2 linked regions of the Arabidopsis thaliana genome follow. The protein of the gene in region 1 interacts with the protein of each later gene in a biochemical or structural test. Each region holds a gene or a part of one and is shown in the gene's direction. Other genes may lie near its edges. The genes, in order: ATB' BETA and RCN1.

Region 1 (5,612 bases):
AGAATCGAGAGACCAAAGGCATCAGATGAAGCTGCACAAATAGTGTGGTATCAAGCTCCCTCAACCAAATAATTGTTCCGGGGTAAAAATGAACTAGCACCAGCATAATATATGTAAACACATGTTTATGTAATAAGAGAAAGAATGGTAAATTCTTGTAAGCAAAGAATTTCAACTAACAATGTTGCTCTACAAATCAAAATTCAAGACTCTCTACTTCCTTGTAGAATCTTCTGTACTTCTTCCGGCTGGCATGGGATGGTCAGAGGTCCTCTTGGTTGAAACCCGAATTCCTCTCTCGCTTGTTCGAGCAGCCTCAAGAACTCTGGTTTGTTCAACTCTTCAAGCTCTAAAACAAACCTCTTAATTCTCTCTCCCTTAACCGCAATCACTGCTACATGCCCTTCCTTCACATCACTTGGAATCATTGATGCAGCATTACCCTCTTCCTCAAACTCACAATAATTCCCTACCCTTTTAGAGAATCTAGTGAATAAGCAGCAAATTTGTAGCTTTCTCATGAAAATCTTAAACTTTTTGCACATTCTCAAAACGTCAACAGTAGAAGTAAAGCTCTGATTAGTGTTCTTTGCTTCTTCTTCTTCTTCTTCTTCTTTGGTGGAGTTGTTGCATTCTTTTGGGTTAGAGAGTTTGGTTTTATACACTCACCATTCATAGTTAGGAAATTTCTAAGAGATTTCTTGATTACAACATTTAATGCAATCCCCCATTTGTGTATCAGCTGTTCTCTTTCTTTGCTCTCCTGAGAATAGTGGGGCCTCACAAGAACACGCTTCTGCAGTCCAAAAAGTGTAACTTCACACCTCTTTCCTTTGTAATTAAGATGGTTGATCCCTCTGGTTCAATCTTTTATCCTTGTTAAGAACTTAAGAATCTTGAAGGACTTTGATTATTTACGTTTTCACTACAAATCAAAGTGTATGGCACAAGTAAAATTACCAAAACAAAAGGACTTTGATTGTTTAGGTTTTCACTAAAATTCACGCATTTGAAGAATTACTTTTCGTGTTGGGTTTGTTGTATATACTCATAGTCTCCTACTCCATTACATTTGTGCCGACACATAAAAGAAGTGAAGAAATTGTCATTATCTAGAGAATAGAGTATTTATCGTATAACATGTCAACTACCTCGTGGTCCGGTCTGTACGGAATCATTAAATGTTTGTTCAAATTTTCTAACACCGTTGCGTACTTATAATGTAATGTAACCCCACTGAATTAAGATATAAACAAAATTGTTGTAAAAACAGAGTACTATGTGAAAACAGAGGAATTTGGTCTTTCTTTGGTCTAAGTTTAGGACCAGCCCTCCTCCCACTAGTAAATACCAGTGCAGTGTGAGGGATTTAAGTCATTCTTTCTTTATTTTTGTTAAACTATTAATTGGTTACAAAAAGAGTGAAAATTTTAAAAAATGAAGAAAATGCATTAATATTGTATTGGTAATAGTAAAATGTTATGTGAATTCTTAAAAAGAAAGTTAGTTGAAAGAAAGAAAAAAAAAAACACGTCAGCATGTGAATTTTAGATGTTGTTGAAAAACATTGGTAAACTAAGGTCTTCTTATATTGGACATTCACATGGACATGGATCATGAAGTTATGTGGGCTACAAGAAAAATAAAATATTTTTGGCCCACTAATCAAAAAGTTTCTAGCTACTCTAGTCTCATTAACAAATCCAAGGAATTTGGGGTGAGTAAAGTGTAAACACTTGACCAGTTTATTATAGAGTCACTTAGAGAGTATTTAAATAATTCAAAACTTGGATTACTTACCAAATAGAGTAAATCAAATTTCAGAGTTCTTGAATTCGCCACTATCTTCTAACTCACGGAAGTTGCTTTATTTTTGTTTCTACTTAGAGATGATAAAACAATTTTGTAATCAGCAAACTCTTCTTTAACCTAAAGTACTTATATCAGAAACCACATTCATGAGAAACCATACTTAAACCTAATGTTAAACGAGAAAATAATTAACCACCTTCAATTTTTGTTAGTGGATAAATAGAGTACCAAACAAAATAAGTGGACAAATTTTAAATAAATAAAAATCTATGGACACTCAAGTTGTAATTTATTTTCTCCGTATCCATTTTGATTTTAGTCCCTTTGTTCCCATTTCTCTCCTCTCTCTCTCTTTCTCGCTCTCTTCCTGATTTGATCACCGGAAAATCTTAGCCGTCCGATCAACCACCGTGTACTCCGAGAAGATCTCTTCGATTACTTCAACGTTCTTCTGATTTTCACCAGCTCAGATCTCCGACAACATTCCGGTATCATTTCTCGCTTTTTTTTCCTCCAAATCCTTATCCGCCAGATTACGAAAATGAGGAGCTTGATCCGAGAGAGGCATAGTGAAAGCTTATCTGTGAATTCTTAGGATTTGAATCTGAATACTCAGGCTTTTTGATTCCTTCTCCGTTACATGCTGATTCAATTTTGAGCTCCCCTGCTAGTGTAAATCTCCTCAGCTCGGAAACTTAGGGTTTAGTTTGGGGTCCTTTGCTCTTCGTTGCGTAAGCCATGTTTAAGAAAATCATGAAAGGTGGGCATCGAAAGCCCTCTAAATCCGAAGCTAATGAACCGTCTAGTTATGGGATTGGTCTACCTGATAATAGGTCAGGTCCTGGCTCCAATGTGGTCGTTAGTCACGCTTCTCGTGGTGCATTGGTTAATTCTTCTCCGTCGCCAGTGACTGCAACTCCACCTCCTCCGCCTTTGGGCTCGGTGGAGCCACTCCCGTTGTTTAGAGATGTGCCGGTTTCAGAGAGGCAAACTTTGTTCTTGAGGAAACTTCAGAATTGCTGTTTCCTTTTCGATTTCACTGACACGATTAAGAATGCTAGAGACAAGGAGATTAAGAGGCAAACGTTGTTGGAGCTGGTGGATTTTATACAGTCTGGATCTAGTAAGATCTCAGAGTCGTGTCAGGAAGAAATGATTAAGATGATTTCTGTTAATATTTTCCGGTCTCTCCCACCAGCATCACACGAGAATACGGGTCAAGAGCCTGCAGATCCTGAGGAAGAAGAACCTTATTTGGAACCTTCTTGGCCTCACTTACAGCTAGTTTACGAGTTGCTCCTGAGATATGTTGTTTCGACTGACACTGATACAAAGGTGGCCAAACGGTATATCGACCATTCTTTTGTGTTAAAGTTGCTCGATTTGTTTGATTCTGAGGACCCAAGAGAGAGGGAGTATTTGAAAACGATTCTTCATAGGATATATGGGAAGTTTATGGTCCACAGACCCTTTATTAGGAAAGCAATCAACAACATATTCTATAGGTTTATTTATGAGACAGAGAGACACAGTGGGATTGGGGAACTCTTGGAGATTCTAGGCAGTATCATAAACGGGTTTGCATTGCCTATGAAGGAGGAACACAAGCTATTCTTAATCAGGGTGTTGATACCATTGCATAAGCCAAAACCAATCGTTGTATATCATCAGCAGTTATCTTATTGCATCGTTCAGTTTGTGGAAAAAGATTATAAGCTTGCGGATACAGTAATCAGGGGATTGTTAAAGTATTGGCCCGTGACAAACTGCTCAAAGGAGAATCTCTTCCTTGGAGAACTTGAAGAAGTTCTTGAGGCAACACAGCCTGTCGAGTTCCAGCGTTGCATGGTTCCATTATTCCAACAAATTGGTCGCTGTCTCACTAGCTCCCACTTTCAGGTTAGTCGTCGTGTTTGCAATGGTGTTTTTTTTTAATCCCCACATGGAAGGCTTATTATGCATATTACCTTAAATATGGAGATTTTGTTATTTAGCTCTTTTGACTCTGGTCTGATTTCTTCCCTGAAAAGAACTAGTGCTTCATCAAGTTTAGTGCAAATTGTTTTTTTTTGTTCTGTTTTTCTTTTTGCTTTGCCTCTTTCTCTTCATTTTTGCCACATGTTGATTTTCATTCATAAAATGATCTTGTTGGTACTAACTCTCATAAGTATGCGTTATATCTCATGCTTTTGATAGCTTCTACTCTGATTAAATCCTTGGATTCCTAGATCATCTTCATTTTCCATGATTCAGTTGTTTCAAAATTTATGGAGTGAATTAACTCTCTGAATGTATTGTTACTGTGCTTACTGATTTCTAGGAATCACACAAGTTTCCCGTTATGTCTTTGTGCAACAGCTCAAACTTTCCTAGAATTCTATGTGGGGTTTGCCTTATGCTCATATGTATATCTCATAAATCCGATACAGGTTGCAGAACGAGCACTGTTCTTGTGGAACAACGAGCACATTGTGGGTCTAATCGCGCAAAACCGAAGCGTGATCCTTCCAATCATATATCCCACACTGGAGAAGAACATCCAGTCTCACTGGAACCAAGCAGTTCATGGTCTAACCACAAATATCAAGAAAATGTTCATGGAAATGGATCCTGAACTGTTTGAAGAATGTCAGAGACAGTATGAAGAGAAACAAGCGAAATCCAAAGAAGTAGAAGAACAACGGCAATATACATGGAAGAGATTAGCAGAAGCAGCGGCGGAGCGAGATGGAGGAGGAGGAGAAGAAGATCATATGATCACTTCCTAGATCGATCAAAAAGGGTATAATTCTTTCACTTTTTTTTTTGTTTGTTCTCATTTTATCAAATGAGTTACTATATTAATTTTCTTATCAAACTTGGATTTGTTTGTTGTTTTGAGAATCATGGGTTCAAAATCTGATTGCTCAGAGAAGTAGAGAGAGAGAAGTGAGCCATTACTATCAGAGAATATGTCTTTAGTACTAAGAAATGTGTTTGTGATCTTCTGTCTAATTTTGTTCGTGGAAAGGCACTTTAAAATTTTGTAAAATTTTAATTATATATACTGTGGATGGATGTTTGTAGCTTGTGTTATTAGCCATCTCAAAATCCAATTTGGTTTTCTTGTTTTGATCCATTCTTACCCTACTTTTTGTGTTATTTGTATCAAAACTTTGAATTTGTATATAGGAGGAAACTAGTCTTCCAACTGATCCAGGACAATGTATTTGATTCCTCAATTTCCAAAAGATAAGAAGAGTTTTCATTTTAACTCTTAAGGTAAACTAAACACAATATCGTCTTCTTTATTATTAACCAAATTGGTTCAGAGCCATTGGACCGAAAACATAGACCGAGAGAATATACCAAGTTATATACAGTTAATTAACTGCGCCAATTCACCACGAGAAAACCTAAATTTTATTGAGGTAGCTTATTGCACGGCGGCGATTAGTTGTTTTACTTGTTACAAGAAAATCATTCCACGGCGGTGGAGAAAAAACAAAAGAGAGCGAGACAAAGAGAGACTACAATGGCTGTTCCAAGAGGAGGAAATGGTTTGAATGAAGAAGAAGATGTTGACGGAGAAAACGCTATCTTTGAGGAAAACGGTGTTGACTACGACACCGATTCCGAGCTTCCCTCTCACCTCCGTGACTTGGCCGCCGCTGCTCAGGCCGGAGATGTCGCCGCCTTGCGCACCGCCATCGGTACTTTCCTTACTTCTTCTCGTTGCTGCTTTTAACAAATTTCAATTTCAATTTCATCTTCAATTGCGTATTGCTTGATTAGCTGGTCAGACCAAAAAAGCCTCAAAA
Region 2 (6,536 bases), on another chromosome or scaffold:
CTAACTTTATTTTTGATACTTGTGAATCTGTTGGTTTGTCTATCAGGTTTTTCTGCAAGTTATTTGAAACTATACCCGGCGATGAAGTCGTATGAATATGCATTCAGGGTGTTTTTGTTGACATACTGTATTGTTCTTGTGTCTGGAAACAACTCTAGAGATTTTTTTAGCACTGCTTATTATAGGTTTTTGCTTATCCTGGTTGGTGCTGGTATCTGTTTGGGTGTGAACATATTTATACTTCCCATTTGGGCTGGAGAAGACCTCCATAAACTAGTTGTTAAGAATTTCAAAAGTGTGGCCAATTCACTTGAAGGTAGAGAGATACGTCAAATGGCTGTTTTCTCTTGTTTCGTTTCGGGTTTTGGCTGTTTTTTTATGTCTTGTTTTGTTTGTGCTTTCCTAAAACTTTCAGGATGTGTTAATGGGTACTTGCAATGTGTTGAATACGAGAGGATTCCTTCGAAGATTCTCACTTACCAAGCTTCGGATGATCCATTATACAGTGGATACAGGTCTGTAGTCCAATCTACGAGCCAAGAAGATTCTCTGGTGTGTTTTCCTTAGGACACTTTTGTTGAGCAGCAACTAGATAACTTGAAAAGGATTTAGATGATAAGATACGATGACCTCTTTTTTCCTCAGCTTGATTTTGCAGTATGGGAGCCTCCACATGGACCATATAAGACTTTCCACCATCCATGGGCAAACTACGTCAAACTTAGTGGCGCAGTAAGGCACTGCGCTTTCATGGTCATGGCAATGCATGGCTGCATTCTTTCGGAAATTCAGGTAACTTACCATATTCTTGTTAAATACAACTTTATCTATCATAGCAAATGAGGTGCTATAATGGTTATTAGAGACTATACCAACCTGCTTCAAATGCTACTAGTACCTCTTCGTGATTAACTAGACTGTTACTCTGAGAAGTCGGATATTTGTCATATAATTGTTGAGTAGGTGCAAAGTGGGATCTCCTAGTTTACTGTTGTTACTAGTGAATGGTTTTCTTTGAGTTCAATGCTTGTCGTATGCCCTATAAGACTTGTGATATCAATTGGTGTGGGATTTGCAGGCAGCTCCAGAAAAAAGGCAGGCTTTTCGTCAAGAACTTCAAAGAGTTGGAAACGAAGGAGCCAAAGTCTTGAGGTTGTTTGGAGAAAAGGTGGAGAAAATGGAGAAGCTAAGCCCAGGGAACGTTCTCAAGGATGTTCAAAGAGCAGCAGAGGAACTACAGATGAAAATAGACAGTAACTCCTTCCTACTTGTCAACTCAGAAAGCTGGGCTGCTATGAAAGAGAAAGCCGAAGCTGAAGAAGCGCAACAAAACTATCACGAAGCCAAAGACGACGAGTCTAAAGTGATTCAATCCCTCAGCCAGATATGGGACAATAACAACAACCCTCATCATCAGAATCAACACGCTGGTAATGATTCTCAGCTATGGATATCAACAGAGAGTATGATGCTTAGGAACCGCGAAAACTGGCCAAGCGTCTCTTTCATAGGCGGTTCTATGATCAATGAGATAGAATCCAAAGTATATGAAAGTGCGAGTTCTTTGTCGCTAGCTACATTTGCGTCTCTTTTGATCGAGTTTGTTGCAAGGCTCCAAAATATTGTTAACGCGTATGAGGAACTAAGCACTAAAGCCGATTTCAAAGAACAAGTTAGCGAGACACGGATATAGAAAAAGCTGGACTCTGGACCAGACTCAGTAGCTGCTTCAGCTCCAGGGATATAGTTGATTTTGTATAGAAAATTATATACATTATTGCTTTGTTTGTTTGCTGTCTTGAAATAAGTTCCTAATTCCTTTTTGTTTTGTTTTGGCAAAGTCATAAACTCAATTGGAAAGTTTTGTTTTTCTTTCATTGTATCAATTGAATCAACTGTTTAATTTTTTAAAGCAAAAAATTGATTAAAGCCCAACATAACCCAATCCTAAGAAAGCCCAAAATGGCCCAATTAGACACTTTCGTCATTTTATATCTTTCCCTTTAATAAATCCTTCGTAAAAAAAAATCAAACGCAGAATATTATTTTTCTCGCTCGCGAATTCCTCTTTCTCACCTTTTCTCGCTCCTGGGAATCTGAAGCAGTTCTTCTCCGACGCCTGGATCGGTAAGTTGATTTCCAGTTTCTTCTTAACGAATCATAAGATCTCATCTCTAAACCTTCATTTTCCGATTCACATTCCCTTTAATCCAACTTCGAACCGGTGAATCTGAACCCATTTCTCGCTTCTTCTGTTTTATTCATACCCGATTCGTTTCAAAATCTGCAGTATAGTCTTAATCTGTTTGTGCAAGTAGAGAAAAATCAATAAAGCCGAAGATAACACTCGAGTGGCTATAATTGTTTTTTCCCAGGATCTGTAAATGATTTCTCGTATTTATTACTAAATATTTTATTCGAGATCCGAAAATATCTATTGTTTCGTCTCTTATAGCAATGAGCTCATAGGAATTATTTTTGGTGTTGCAGTGATTTGATTCGAACTTTCACATAAGATGGCTATGGTAGATGAACCGTTGTATCCCATTGCTGTGCTTATAGATGAGCTTAAGAATGATGATATTCAGCTTCGTTTGAACTCGATCCGTCGCTTATCTACTATAGCTCGTGCTCTTGGAGAGGAGCGTACAAGGAAGGAGTTAATCCCTTTTTTGAGTGAGAATAGTGACGATGACGATGAGGTGCTTCTTGCAATGGCTGAGGAGTTAGGAGTTTTTATTCCGTTTGTTGGAGGAATTGAGTTTGCGCATGTTCTTCTTCCTCCTTTGGAATCTCTATGTACTGTTGAAGAGACTTGTGTGAGAGAAAAAGCTGTGGAATCGCTTTGTAAGATTGGATCTCAGATGAAAGAGAATGATCTTGTTGAATCTTTTGTTCCTCTTGTGAAGGTTAGTTTAGGAGATTTATGTAGCACTAGATTACGCCGTTTTGTTAGTTGGTTCAATCAAAGCTTTTTTTTTTGTTTTGTTGTTTGTCTTGTAGAGGTTAGCGGGTGGTGAATGGTTTGCAGCAAGAGTTTCTGCATGTGGTATATTTCATGTTGCATACCAAGGTTGCACTGATGTGTTGAAGACTGAGTTACGGGCTACTTATAGCCAGTTGTGCAAAGATGATATGCCAATGGTGCGAAGAGCTGCTGCATCTAACCTGGGGAAATTTGCTACAACTGTCGAGTCTACCTTTTTGATTGCTGAGATCATGACTATGTTCGATGATCTTACTAAAGATGGTACTTAATGTTTGAATATATCGTACTTTATATGTGCTCATCACTTAGAAATAGTTTGCATAGACCCAAGAGTATGGTAAAGAGATCACATTTGAATTAATAAACGCTGTTTGATGAAATATATTGGATACTTACCTCTTCAGAAATGTTTGTTTTATCTGTGCTTATATTGGTTAAACTTTAACCTTCATTTCAGACCAAGATTCTGTGAGACTATTGGCTGTTGAAGGGTGTGCAGCTCTTGGAAAGTTGTTGGAACCTCAGGATTGTGTTGCACGCATTTTACCTGTTATTGTTAATTTCTCTCAGGTGAATTGAGCTTTGTTTTTTTCATTCATGGATTTTTCAGTTAATTGTCTGCTGTTCCATGTTTAATTTTCATCGGTAAAAGCTTGCTGTTCTGATGTTTTTCTATGGTGTTTGTATTGATTTCTGAGAGCAGGATAAATCTTGGAGGGTGCGCTACATGGTTGCTAATCAGCTATATGAACTTTGTGAGGCAGTGGGTCCTGATTGCACGAGGTATGTGTTTTGTGACATTGTTGATTTTTTTGTCATCCTTGCTAATCTAGGCTTTCGTTCTCGTAAAACAGTTTTGTGACCTTCAAACAAATATGCATCTAAGAGCGTCTATTGGAAGTTTTCTTTATTCTTTTTCGTTCATATAAGAGCCTTCCATGGTAGTTCTATGTTTGTACATGTATCTTTTTATTTTGACACAATTTATGTTATAATATCTCTAGGACGGATTTGGTTCCAGCATATGTGAGATTGCTAAGGGACAATGAGGCTGAAGTGCGAATAGCAGCAGCGGGAAAAGTGACCAAGTTCTGTCGGCTTTTGAATCCAGAGCTTGCGATTCAGCACATCCTTCCTTGTGTGAAGGTAAGACTCCTTAAATTCTATATAAACGAGTTGTTTGATGTCCCCTGTCTCGTAATATTCTGATACATACTGATGTCTGGCAGGAATTATCATCGGATTCTTCTCAACATGTCCGCTCTGCTCTAGCTTCAGTAATAATGGGGATGGCTCCTATCCTTGGGAAGGTATGAACTGAAGATAGCCAACATTTTCGCATCTTGTGACAATGTTCTGAGATTTAATTTGTTTTATGGTTTTCATCAACAAAATCAGCCATACCTTGTGTTATGGCGTGGTTATACCAGCCCCAACTGGTGTTGCAGACCTTATCAAAAAATTATTAACATACTAAAATCTTTCAATACAGGACTCAACCATTGAGCATCTGTTACCAATTTTTCTTTCCCTTTTGAAAGATGAATTTCCTGATGTGCGCCTTAACATCATAAGCAAGTTAGATCAAGTCAACCAGGTTTGTTGCATCTCTCTTGTGTGCTTTAGATACTACTTTTATTGCTTCCTTATTTAGTTGGTGACTGAATTATCTTTTACGGCAGGTTATTGGAATTGATCTACTATCTCAATCCTTGTTACCGGCCATTGTAGAACTTGCTGAGGATCGGCACTGGAGAGTCCGACTTGCAATAATAGAGTATGTTCCACTGTTGGCCAGCCAGTTAGGTATAGGATTTTTCGATGACAAGCTCGGAGCCCTTTGCATGCAATGGCTGCAAGACAAGGTTTACCTTGAATCTTTGATGTTTGCATAAATTTCTCATTCACTTGTTATTGTAGATATTGACACTGTTCTCCTCCTTCAGGTCTACTCTATCCGCGAAGCTGCAGCAAACAACCTAAAGCGCCTCGCAGAGGAGTTTGGTCCTGAATGGGCAATGCAGCACTTAGTTCCCCAGGTATTCTTTGAGCATTTTATACTAAAACCATCTGTCTGTTTATCTTATTGTTGATCTATGTCAAGTACCTCACCTATAACATCTAATCTCCAGCTTTGGTCCCTTTTCTTTGGATATCACTAAAGCTGCAAATATTGAGATCTCCAGATTGACCTTTATCATATAAACAGGTATTGGACATGGTCAACAATCCGCACTACCTACACAGGATGATGGTTCTACGCGCAATATCTCTCATGGCGCCTGTAATGGGATCAGAAATCACATGCTCTAAGTTTCTTCCTGTGGTTGTTGAAGCATCAAAAGACAGGTACAATAGATAGATTAGAGGATATGAATAAGCCAAACTAGTTTAAGAACACTTCTTAGTTTTTAATGTGTTGTTGTTGCACACCTCTTATCTCTGCAGAGTTCCAAACATCAAGTTCAACGTTGCCAAACTTCTGCAATCCCTCATCCCCATAGTCGACCAATCAGTACGATCATAACAAACATAACTCAGTTATATCGAAAACTAATGGAAATTGTTGAATTTTAATGTTTTTGCCGTGTCAAAAATTTGTAGGTGGTGGACAAAACAATCCGTCAGTGTTTGGTGGACCTGAGCGAAGACCCTGATGTTGATGTTCGTTATTTTGCAAATCAAGCACTTAATTCCATCGATGGTTCCACAGCAGCACAATCCTGAATTGTTTTTTTTTCATATGTATGATCGTTAAGTTAAGTTTCTATTATTCGTGTTCTCTGCAATTTATTTGGTTTGTTTGTGTAAAACGCCATTTTGGTTGCTGGCTATGAACTGCAACTATTTTTGTTAGTAAAATTGTATTACCTTTTTTACACTTTCTGTTGTTCCAAACCTTATACATTCTTCTTAGTTTACTAATGCTAACACTACTCCCTTAGTGAAACTATTTGAGATAGAGTGAAATGCGTGTGGCTATGTTTGGTCTTCTGACTAGTTCTTGTTTCAAACTTTATCCAACCCCTCTAGATCAACTTTGTTCTATTCAATTGATTTTGTTTTTCTAATAAACACAAAAATCAATACATTAGATTTTGATACAAACGCCCACAGCCTCCTATTCATGATTCAACAAATAGAAAGCATAAATCATTTGACAAAATAATTTTAGCCACAAGGGTTAGCCCGCTTTTAGCACCCTCTAATAGCATAATATTCTACAGTTATATCTCCTATTTTCCAAGAGGAGGCATAGGCTAATCAAGCGGTCGTCAAAACTTCACGGGCTCGCGAGCTACGATGTTGGAGACGACGGTGAAGCACCTCAGACATCTCAGTGTAGAAATCAGCATCCCATCTCTGAATCAACAAAGGATCTTCAGCAAAACATATGTATATCGATGTCACAGCGCTTTCGACTACCACCATTCCTAAACCCACCTGAACACCACATTGGATCAATGAAACAAAGTGAACAAGTTGGTCATGTAATTTTTTGGGTGACTAAAAGAGTGCACAAAAGAAAACTCACAAGAACCATTCC

Evidence for each region.
Region 2: the proteins of ATB' BETA (region 1) and RCN1 form a complex in vitro, tested with the Arabidopsis thaliana proteins (one study listed by BioGRID).

What each region holds. Positions count from the first base shown.
Region 1 is NC_003074.8:3,027,352-3,032,963, forward strand, and holds ATB' BETA (Protein phosphatase 2A regulatory B subunit family protein), read left to right. Parts: upstream 1-2,119; 5' UTR 2,120-2,550; coding exon 2,551-3,711; intron 3,712-4,241; coding exon 4,242-4,580; 3' UTR 4,581-5,048; downstream 5,049-5,612. Other genes in the region: AT3G09863 (uncharacterized protein), read left to right, coding at 1-72; AT3G09870 (SAUR-like auxin-responsive protein family), read right to left, coding at 204-545; AT3G09890 (Ankyrin repeat family protein), read left to right, coding at 5,327-5,504.
Region 2 is NC_003070.9:8,949,184-8,955,719, forward strand, and holds RCN1 (ARM repeat superfamily protein), read left to right. Parts: upstream 1-1,978; 5' UTR 1,979-2,127; intron 2,128-2,490; 5' UTR 2,491-2,516; coding exon 2,517-2,909; intron 2,910-3,003; coding exon 3,004-3,250; intron 3,251-3,446; coding exon 3,447-3,559; intron 3,560-3,692; coding exon 3,693-3,772; intron 3,773-3,993; coding exon 3,994-4,135; intron 4,136-4,218; coding exon 4,219-4,299; intron 4,300-4,481; coding exon 4,482-4,586; intron 4,587-4,671; coding exon 4,672-4,854; intron 4,855-4,935; coding exon 4,936-5,028; intron 5,029-5,198; coding exon 5,199-5,338; intron 5,339-5,437; coding exon 5,438-5,504; intron 5,505-5,593; coding exon 5,594-5,716; 3' UTR 5,717-5,977; downstream 5,978-6,536. Other genes in the region: AT1G25480 (aluminum activated malate transporter family protein), read left to right, coding at 47-316, 416-552, 646-792, 1,079-1,693; AT1G25500 (Plasma-membrane choline transporter family protein), read right to left, coding at 6,254-6,433, 6,525-6,536. UniProt on the Arabidopsis thaliana protein: The A subunit of protein phosphatase 2A serves as a scaffolding molecule to coordinate the assembly of the catalytic subunit and a variable regulatory B subunit. Seems to act as a positive regulator of PP2A catalytic activity.